Mus musculus: one gene and its partner. Each later gene encodes a partner of the first gene's protein in a complex. Links are inferred from orthologs where the notes say so. Each region holds a gene or a part of one and is shown on either strand. Other genes may lie near its edges. The genes, in order: Polr3b and Polr3gl.

What was found.
Region 2: Polr3b (region 1) and Polr3gl share a complex: the UniProt entries of both Homo sapiens proteins name them as parts of the RNA polymerase III (Pol III) complex. The link is inferred for Mus musculus from reciprocal best matches to the Homo sapiens genes POLR3B and POLR3GL.

What each region holds. Positions count from the first base shown.
Region 1 is NC_000076.6:84,620,666-84,625,140, reverse strand, and holds the start of Polr3b (DNA-directed RNA polymerase III subunit RPC2), read right to left. Parts: upstream 2,844-4,475; 5' UTR 2,675-2,843; coding exon 2,603-2,674; exon of another isoform or gene 2,496-2,602; intron 1-2,495. UniProt on the Homo sapiens protein: Catalytic core component of RNA polymerase III (Pol III), a DNA-dependent RNA polymerase which synthesizes small non-coding RNAs using the four ribonucleoside triphosphates as substrates.
Region 2 is NC_000069.6:96,591,130-96,595,461, forward strand, and holds the start of Polr3gl (DNA-directed RNA polymerase III subunit RPC7-like), read right to left. Parts: upstream 3,053-4,332; 5' UTR 2,955-3,052; intron 1-2,954. UniProt on the Homo sapiens protein: DNA-dependent RNA polymerase catalyzes the transcription of DNA into RNA using the four ribonucleoside triphosphates as substrates. Specific peripheric component of RNA polymerase III which synthesizes small RNAs, such as 5S rRNA and tRNAs.

The DNA of each region.
Region 1 (4,475 bases):
GGTTTTTGTTGTTGTTGTTGTTGTTTTTACCAAGTCTGGCCAATGCTTACTTCCCACCTCTTTCCCACCATTGCTTAGTGTACTTGCTCTGTTGGGTTGGGTTTTTGTTTTGTTTTGTTTTTCCCCTTGTATACTTATTCTGTCTTTGATAGTTTTTTTTCTCATTAAACTTTCAACTTTAATTTGTAGATTACATTTTGTGTTTCAATCATGTCTTCCTTAGGAAGCTACCACAGTGTCTGCCATAGACCCTTGCGTGTTTCTAACACCGCTGGCCCCTTTCCCTGGTCTTATTCTCTGTAGCAGGGTGCTCAGGCTTTGGCATTTTCTTTTTTCTGAATGAATGAACATAATGAATCATGTTACTTACTGCCTTTGCCAAAGAAGGCAAAGAATGGCACGGGAGACTCAGAAATTGACATTGCACTTACTCATATTGATTATTCCCATCTATGTAAGTGGGATAATAAACAGTAATGAACAGTACTTACTAGAGCAATAGTTTCGCGTGCTGAGTTAAATGAACAAATGCTATTTCCTTTTAGCTCAGCCTATTTTCTATTCAGCTCCACAACTTGTATTTTCTCTACAACTTTCTAGACAGGAGCTCTGGTTTATTTGAACTAATCATTTCTATTATATTTTTCCTTCATATTATACTGTGGTAGGAAAAGTTACTCAGGCTTTGGGGCTGGTTATTATTCATCGATGAGGTGAGCAAATACTAATCGACTATACTGAGTACTTATGGGGTAGTGTTTCAGCAACTTAAACAAGTAAACAGACTTGCCTCCTGACTTCAGAAGTCGTTAGCTTAATAGGGGCGACATGTAAGCAAATGGAATGACACTTGGTAGGTGCTATAACAGTATGCAGTGAGGTGGATTATTATAGATGCTAGGTATACTGCCATGACTGAGCATGGTGGTTGTATGAGGGAGGCATTCCAAATAAAGGGAGCCACTGTGTGCAAGCGCACAGGGTTGAAGGAGCTGGCAGGGTGGAGAACACTGAGGATGTCTATGCCTGCTATGAGTTAGACATGGTGAGGAAAGAAAGGTAGGTACATTGAAGAGGCTTAAGGTAGTGAATGAGGTGACAGCAGGTTCCAGTGAGCCAGTGCACCGTGGCTCAAAAGCTGAGTTAGGGCTGGGAAACACAGACAGAAGGACCAGAAAGCAGTGTAGTGGCCCATTTGGAAGACACCGAGAGTTCCAGCTCATGCTGCAATTAAGGACGATTGTGAGGAAGGTTCCTTACAGCAACACTGTAACACGACGCTGTGATCTACAAAACTCTCCCTGGAGAGCCATACCAAAAATATTAAAAGTAAAATAAAATAACACTCATAAAGCTTGGAGTTAAGTCTGCAGTTTTGGACTGGGCTACATTCTTAACTATCCTTTGCTGCATGGGCTGCAGGTCCTGTTGATTAGGAGTAGGGGAACACTGAGAAATAAGCCAAACACAAAGACAAATACTGTGTATTTTCCCTAAGAGGATCTTGGAACTCATTCTTCAAAGTCCCTGAGACAGTGAGGTTGTGATCCTACCACCTCTACATACCAAATGCTGAGATTAAAGTCGTGGGCCCCTACACCCTGTCATAGCAGGAATCAACCACGGGTGCTCTGGAAGAGCAACCAGTAGTCCTCAATCCCTGAGCCGCCCCTGGGTCCTAAGTCACTGATCAGGTCGCTCCCAATTAAACCCTTCAATGGTGCTTTACTATTCCCAGGGAGAAAGTCTAACACCTTCTAAGAGTTAACACATTTCAGAATCAGGAAGGCATCTTTTACTGCCCTCTTCCCCTAGCTCCACTAGATTTATTTGTTCCCCTGAAACAACTGATGGTGTGTCTGGGGTCATGTACAACCTGTTCCTCTGCCTGAATTTCTTCCTCGACCATCTTCAGTCCTAGATGTCCCTATTCTGTGCCAAAGATGTCAAGGTTCAGTGAGAATTTATATACCTTCTCAGGAAACAAAATCATGTCAATAACTGCACTTCCTTAGGCAGTTCACCGTGAAGCAATTATCCTTTAACTTTTAAGAATCTGATGAAAGCTATAGGGGCCCCTAAGAAAATACAAGATCAAAAATGGGGGACGAAGGGATAGTCAAGGTACTTAAACTAAACCTGCAGTCCAAAGAAACTGTGGAGTAAAAGGAAAATGATGACAAGGGTGAGATTCCCATTTACTTTTAGCACCAAAGCCGGCTATGGGACCTCAAGAACATTGCCTACGTTCTCAGGATCTCTGTGTCCTTCCAGGTGAGATCGGCAAGAAGATATTGGTTCCTGAGAGAATACACAAGGACCAATTCTTGCCAGTGCACACTTAAATTAGAAAAGCTTTACCCGAGAGCCATTCGCTAAGCTTCTAAACGTAGGACGCTACTGAGAGATCTGTACTTGCTGCTACAAACGCTCAAGAACCACACCTGGTAAAAGCTCACACACCCGGAGCTCCGAGCATGTGCAGAAGTTCTGAGCATGCGTAGAAGCCCAGGGACCCGCCCTCGTCATCCTGAAAACTCTCCCGGCAACGCCTCCTTAGTCGTCTCCAACCTCTTCCGCTGCCTGCGCTCACGGCACTTACCTCCACAGTCGGGATCGGCGCAGTCAGCTGCTCCGGAGTCAGGCTCCCGAACTCCTCGGCTAGAACATCCATTCCATTCACGGTAGAGGAAGAAGTCGGCAGAATGTTCACATCCGCCCGTGCGGCTCCAAGCAAGTAGCACGCGGAGAGTGGTGTGCGTTCTCCTCCGGTGTCCCCGTGGCGCTTGTTTACGGGGAGGCGTTTCAAAAGGTTCCGCCTGGTCAGGGCCTAACCTGCGGAGGAACCCGGAAGTGACCGAGCCGGATGTGGAAAACTACACCCACTGGTGTACTTCCGAGGTCTCGCCGGGCTAATCCTAGCCTCTTGACAGGCTCATTTCCAGTATCCCCAGAATGATTGAATACGGCAAAGTATAGTAGTTCTAACTGTATAACTAATCTGAAAAATGACTCGATAATACACATTAGTCACAACATGAACTTCTAAAGCAGAGATTTCAATTAACTCAGTCTAAACTGCTTGTATGTTGTGTAGTACAGAAGAGCAAAAGTCCTTGCTTAAATAATTGGTGGTACCTGCGTGTAATGAACAGGCATCAGCCGGGCGTGGTGGCGCACGCCTTTAATCCCAGCACTCGGGAGGCAGAGGCAGGCGGATTTCTGAGTTCGAGGCCAGCCTGGCCTACAAAGTGAGTTCCAGGACAGCCAGGGGGCAGTAAAAGATGCCTTCCTGATTCTGAAATGTGTTAACTCTTAGAAGGTGTTAGACTTTCTCCCTGGGAATAGTAAAGCACCATTGAAGGGTTTAAACGGGAGCGACCTGATCAGTGACTTAGGACCCAGGGGCGGCTCAGGGATTGAGGACTACTGGTTGCTCTTCCAGAGCACCTGGGGTTGATTCCTGCTATGACAGGGTGTAGGGGCCCACGACTTTAATCCCAGCATTTGGTATGTAGAGGTGGTAGGATCACAACCTCACTGTCTCAGGGAGTTTGAAGAATGAGGTCCAAGATCCTCTTAGGGAAAACCCAATAAATTATATTAGAATAGTTAATTAACGGTTTGGGGGAAAATATGTTTAAATCCTATGTCGATGAAATATACCTTAACAAAACACTAGAAGGAAACGTCAGAGGGACGGAGTTTGTTACCACTACACCGAATAAACGAAGGATTGCACATAATCCTCCCACGGCAGCACAGACACCTATAATCCCAGCATTTAGAAGCTAGAGGTAGGAGGGCATCCAGAAATTCAAGGGCATCCTTGGCTACCTAACAAGGTCGAGGCCAGCCTGGGCTACATGAAACCCTGTCTCCAAAGAAAAGGTAATGTATTAATAACATTGATTGGTGAAAGATTTCAAGGATGGCAACGGAGAAAGCATAAGAATTGCTAAAAGTTGTATTCCATTAATTTTTAAAAAATTAGATACACCTATAAAAAATCTCTATGAATAGTAAACACACAGTTGGTAGAAGACAAAAGGATTTGTCACTGAAATTGGAAATGAGTTCATGCAAGTCCAATGGTAAGAAAAATCCCATGGGAAGAAGAGGTAAAAGATGCCAACAGTTTTTAAATGAGTTTCAGTTTGGGAACATACAAAAATTGTGGAGATGGATGGTGTCACATGAGTGTGTACAATGCTCCTGGCCATTTAATAGTTGAACTATTTAATAGTTCACCTGTATAATTAGCACCATCTAATAATATGTGTTCTTTTTTTTTTTTAAACCTGGTCCAAGGTAATCTGCGTACAGAGTTAGCTAGTTAAATTTCAGTGCTTGTATCTAAACGTTGTGCTGATAGACTTCTGAAACTAAGTGAAGAAAGAAAGAAAAAAATTACAGGCCACCAAGATGGCTCAGTATGTTAAGTCACCTGCCACAAAGCTTGAAAAGCCGCGTTC
Region 2 (4,332 bases), on another chromosome or scaffold:
GAGGTATCTATGGAGTTCCAGGTCAGCCTGGGCTACTACATAGTGAAACCTTGTTTCAAACAACAAATTCTGAAATGATATAAGTGGTCTAATAATAGATGATAAAAACCACAAACCAAAAACAGCCTGGTTTTAATCCCAGCACTCAGGAGGCAGAAGCAGGCAGAAATCTAGAGTTTGAGGCCAGCCTGGTCTACAGAGTGAGTTCCAGGACAGCCAAGGCTACACAGAGAAACAGACTGTCTAGAAAAACCAAAAACCAAACCAAAACAAAGGTGGAGAGATGCCTCAGTGGTTAAGAGCACTGACTGCTCTTCCAGAGGTCCTGAGTTCAACTCCCAGCAACCACATGGTGGCTCACAACCATCTGTAATGGGATCTGATGCCCTCTTCGGGTGTCTGAAAAACAGCTACAGTGAGCTCACATAAATATAATAAGTGCATCTTTAAAAAACAAAACAAAAAAGCAAAACCCAACAACAACAACAACATCCAGAACAAATAACAAAAACCCCCAAACAAGCCATTTTCAAGGGAGGAGGTTAATAATATGGAGTGTTTAGGGGTGAAGGAGACTACAATATAAAGTCATATTTATCTGTTGTTGTTGTTTTTTTAATGTTTTCATTCTTGATACAAAATTGAATTTATAGTGTGGCTCTATTTACTTATAAAACAAAAAGTTTTGCATATATACAGAATAAACTGAGAGTACATATGTCTAAATACTAGTATCAGGGGCAGGCAAGATGGCTCAGCAGATAAAGTCAGTGCCAGTCCAAGAACCTGAGTCCCATCCCTGGAACCAACTAAGGTGCAAGGGAGACATAACCTTACAAAGCTGTCCTCTGACGCTGACATGCATGCGGTGGCACCAGTGTGCAAGTACATAAAATAACAATAAAGTTTAAAGTTGTAAAATACTAATTACCATCATTATTACCTTAGGGCTATGAAATAATGCACACTCTTATATTACTATGTGTTTGAAAGTTGTGTGGAATAAATGTATATCCTACAATCAACAAGTAAAAAGGATGCTTCGTTTTCAAGAATGCAGGGGAAATCTGGAGAATGGTTCAGTGGCTCAGAGCACTGGCTGCTCTCCCAGAGGACTTGGGATTCGATTCCCCGGGACCCACACAGGGACTCACAGCTGTCTGTAACCCGTCCCAGGGAACCCAACACCCTTTTCTGCCTTCTGAGGGTTTCAAGCACACAAGTGGTACAAAGACTCACATGCAGACCAAACGCCCACCCACACACAAGAATTCAGAGGACGAGTGGGTGCTATAGCTCAGTGGTGGAACCCTACTTAGCAAATCACTAGGGCCTCAATTCAATCCCCAGTTAAAGAAAATAAGCAAACCCTCACAACAACAACAACAGCAACAACACACTCGCTTAGCAGAAAGCCTTGGGCCAAGCCTGTCATTCAGAAATTTCAATTCATCTTTGGTTCCATGGTGAGTTTGGGGCCAGCCTGACCTCCACATATGCACCATGGTACACACTCCACCCAGGCCCACTAATAATAAGTAAGTTTAAGTTGAATAAATTCAAAGGAAAAAGTGAAAGAGTGGACCGACCTGAAAAGAGCTAGTGAGTTCTCTTCCTAAAGATGCTGTTTCAGAGCTAGGGGTGTAGTTCAGGGGCAGAATGAATGCTTAGCATTTGTAAGACCGGACTCACATTTCTCAATTTAAAAGAAAAAAGCTTATTTGGGGTGCAGTGGTACAAGCCTGTTATCCCAGAAAGGGTGAGGCAGGAGGGTCATAAGTTGGAGGTCAGCCTGTTTGCCCTGCATAGAAAGAACTGGTTTCGAAAATATTTTCCCACATACTAAATAACAATTTATTGAATAGATGTTATCAGAGGGTTCATTGTGATCCCGGTTGTCTAGCACTGTGTCTGCTATGTAGTAGGTTCTCAGTAAATATCTGTCTTTTGAACATGTGTCTACAGACTCTGTGAGTCACAAAGACTCCCTTCTGGTTCTTTTTGTTGTTTTCCTTCTCTGGTCTGAGAATAACTATAAAACATTAATGCAATAAACCACCAGTTCAAAGACCCCTAATTATATAATGTTGTCTTTTATTGTTCCCTAATTATATCAGGAGTTTAAATTTGTCCTCCTTGACAAGAGCACTGGTTCCCACAAATCAATTCCACTCGATTAACGCTTACTGAACACAATGTATTAAGTACCCCAATCTGTCCCATCAAACCTTCCGTTCATAGAATAGAAACAGTGAAAGAGAACATATAATCCTAACACCGGGGGTACTGTGGCAGGGGGAATGCAAACTGGAGGCCAGTATGGGCTACATAGCAAGAGTCTGCCGATAAAAGCATGGGAGGGATGGAAAAAGTCAGCCTCGTGAGATGGTAAATACTCGTGTTGCCAAGTGGCCAGGAAACAGGCTGACTAGCTCAAGTTGTCCTCTGACCTCCTTGCGTAAGCCATGGCTTGTACGTACCCCCCCCACACACACACAAATAATGTAATTTTAAAAATTAAAGAGATTCCAATAGTGATAATCGGACTTTGTCAGGTCGGGGATCAATAAATTCTTCACGGTGGTCTAGGAAAGTGGTGGGTAGAGGGTAGCGGTTCAGTTGACTTGATAGGTAATAAGAATCTGTCAGGCTCTTGACAGGGGGCTAATGTTACGTTAATGGGTGCGGGAGAAGCTGGTACCATAGAAGAGTCTGAGCTACAAGAATGAACCTTCCTCTCCTGCTTTAATATCTGTCCCCAGGCGCGACAGCAAGCTGTCTCCGGCGTACAGTCAAGACAGCAGTGAGAGCCCGGGGAAAAAGGGGAGGGATTTAGAAGGGGGCTGATCCAACAGGCTGACAGAAAGCGTTATCTACGTCGCTGTCGGCGCCGAGGGACTAATTCGGGAAGTACCGAACCAAACCGGGTCAGAGCCACCAGGTCGAAGCCTTACCTGCCGTCCCTCCCCCACTCAGGGCCCACGCAGCCGCCAACTTGAAATTTGCTTTTCTTCTTCCAGCCCTCGTTCTAGGCCCGCCTCCCCGAGCTCTCCATTGGTGGGTTTTCCTGGCCAATCGACGAGAGCGGAGGCGGGCGAGGAGGGGAGGAGGAGGGAGCGAGCTTAACCGGAACTGAGGCTTGGGAAGTGGCGCGCTGAGACCTGGGGCTGCAGAATTCACCTCTTATGCCCAGACCGAACTAGATGGCTAAGATGTCCTGCTACTCAGAGCTCATCCAGACACGTGGCGGAGCCAGAAGAGGAGAACCGCTGCTGGGAAATGTAGCCCTGGGTCAGAGAAACCAGACTGCTCATCTGTTAACAGCTGTGCCTGCAGGAGTTCCCAGAAACACTCCAGGAGGTTCCCAACTACCGGACTCCAGCGCCCTCTTCTGGCTTAGGCCATCACACACACACACACACACACACACACACACACACACACACACACACACCACACACACACCACACACACACACACACACACACACACCACACACACACACACACACACACACACACACACACACACCACACACACACACACACCACACACACACACACACACACACACACACCACACACACACCACACACACACCACACATCACACACACACACACCACACATCACACACACACACACACACACACACACACACACACACACACCACACATCACACACACACACACACACACACACACACACACACACACACCACACATCACACACACACACACACACACACAGAGAAACACTCCAGGAGGTTCCCAACTACCGGACTCCCGCGCCCTCTTCTGGCTTAGGCCATCACATACACACCACACACACCACACACACACACACACACATACCACACACACCCTCTTTATTATTCTTCCTCAGTCACCAGCACTACTAATAAATAATCTTTAAAAGATTTTTTTTCTCTAAAGGCAGGGTCTGGCTACCCAGTCTAGGCTGGCCTTGAACTCTTGATACTCTTGACTCTGCTACCAAGCTCAGGCCCCAAATGCGGATTGTTGCGGTGTCTGAGAAGTGAGGGAGAGAAGGGGGCTTGGGACCAGAGCAGTAATTGGGGAGAGAAGGCAGGAACCCAGTGGGTTTTTTCTTTCTGTACTTTCCACTGCCCTTCAAGCCCCTTCAAGGAAAGAGGGCAGAATAGAAAGAGTCATTTTTTTTACAGAGTAGAAGTAAAGGGAAATACTTCAGGATGGATGTAAAACTAGGAGTCAGTCAACAAGAATATGACAGAGGTCAGAGAAAATGGCCTCTAGACTGGGAAGTTGCATGTGGATGACACATACTCCGTTTTTGGAATAGTATAAAAACA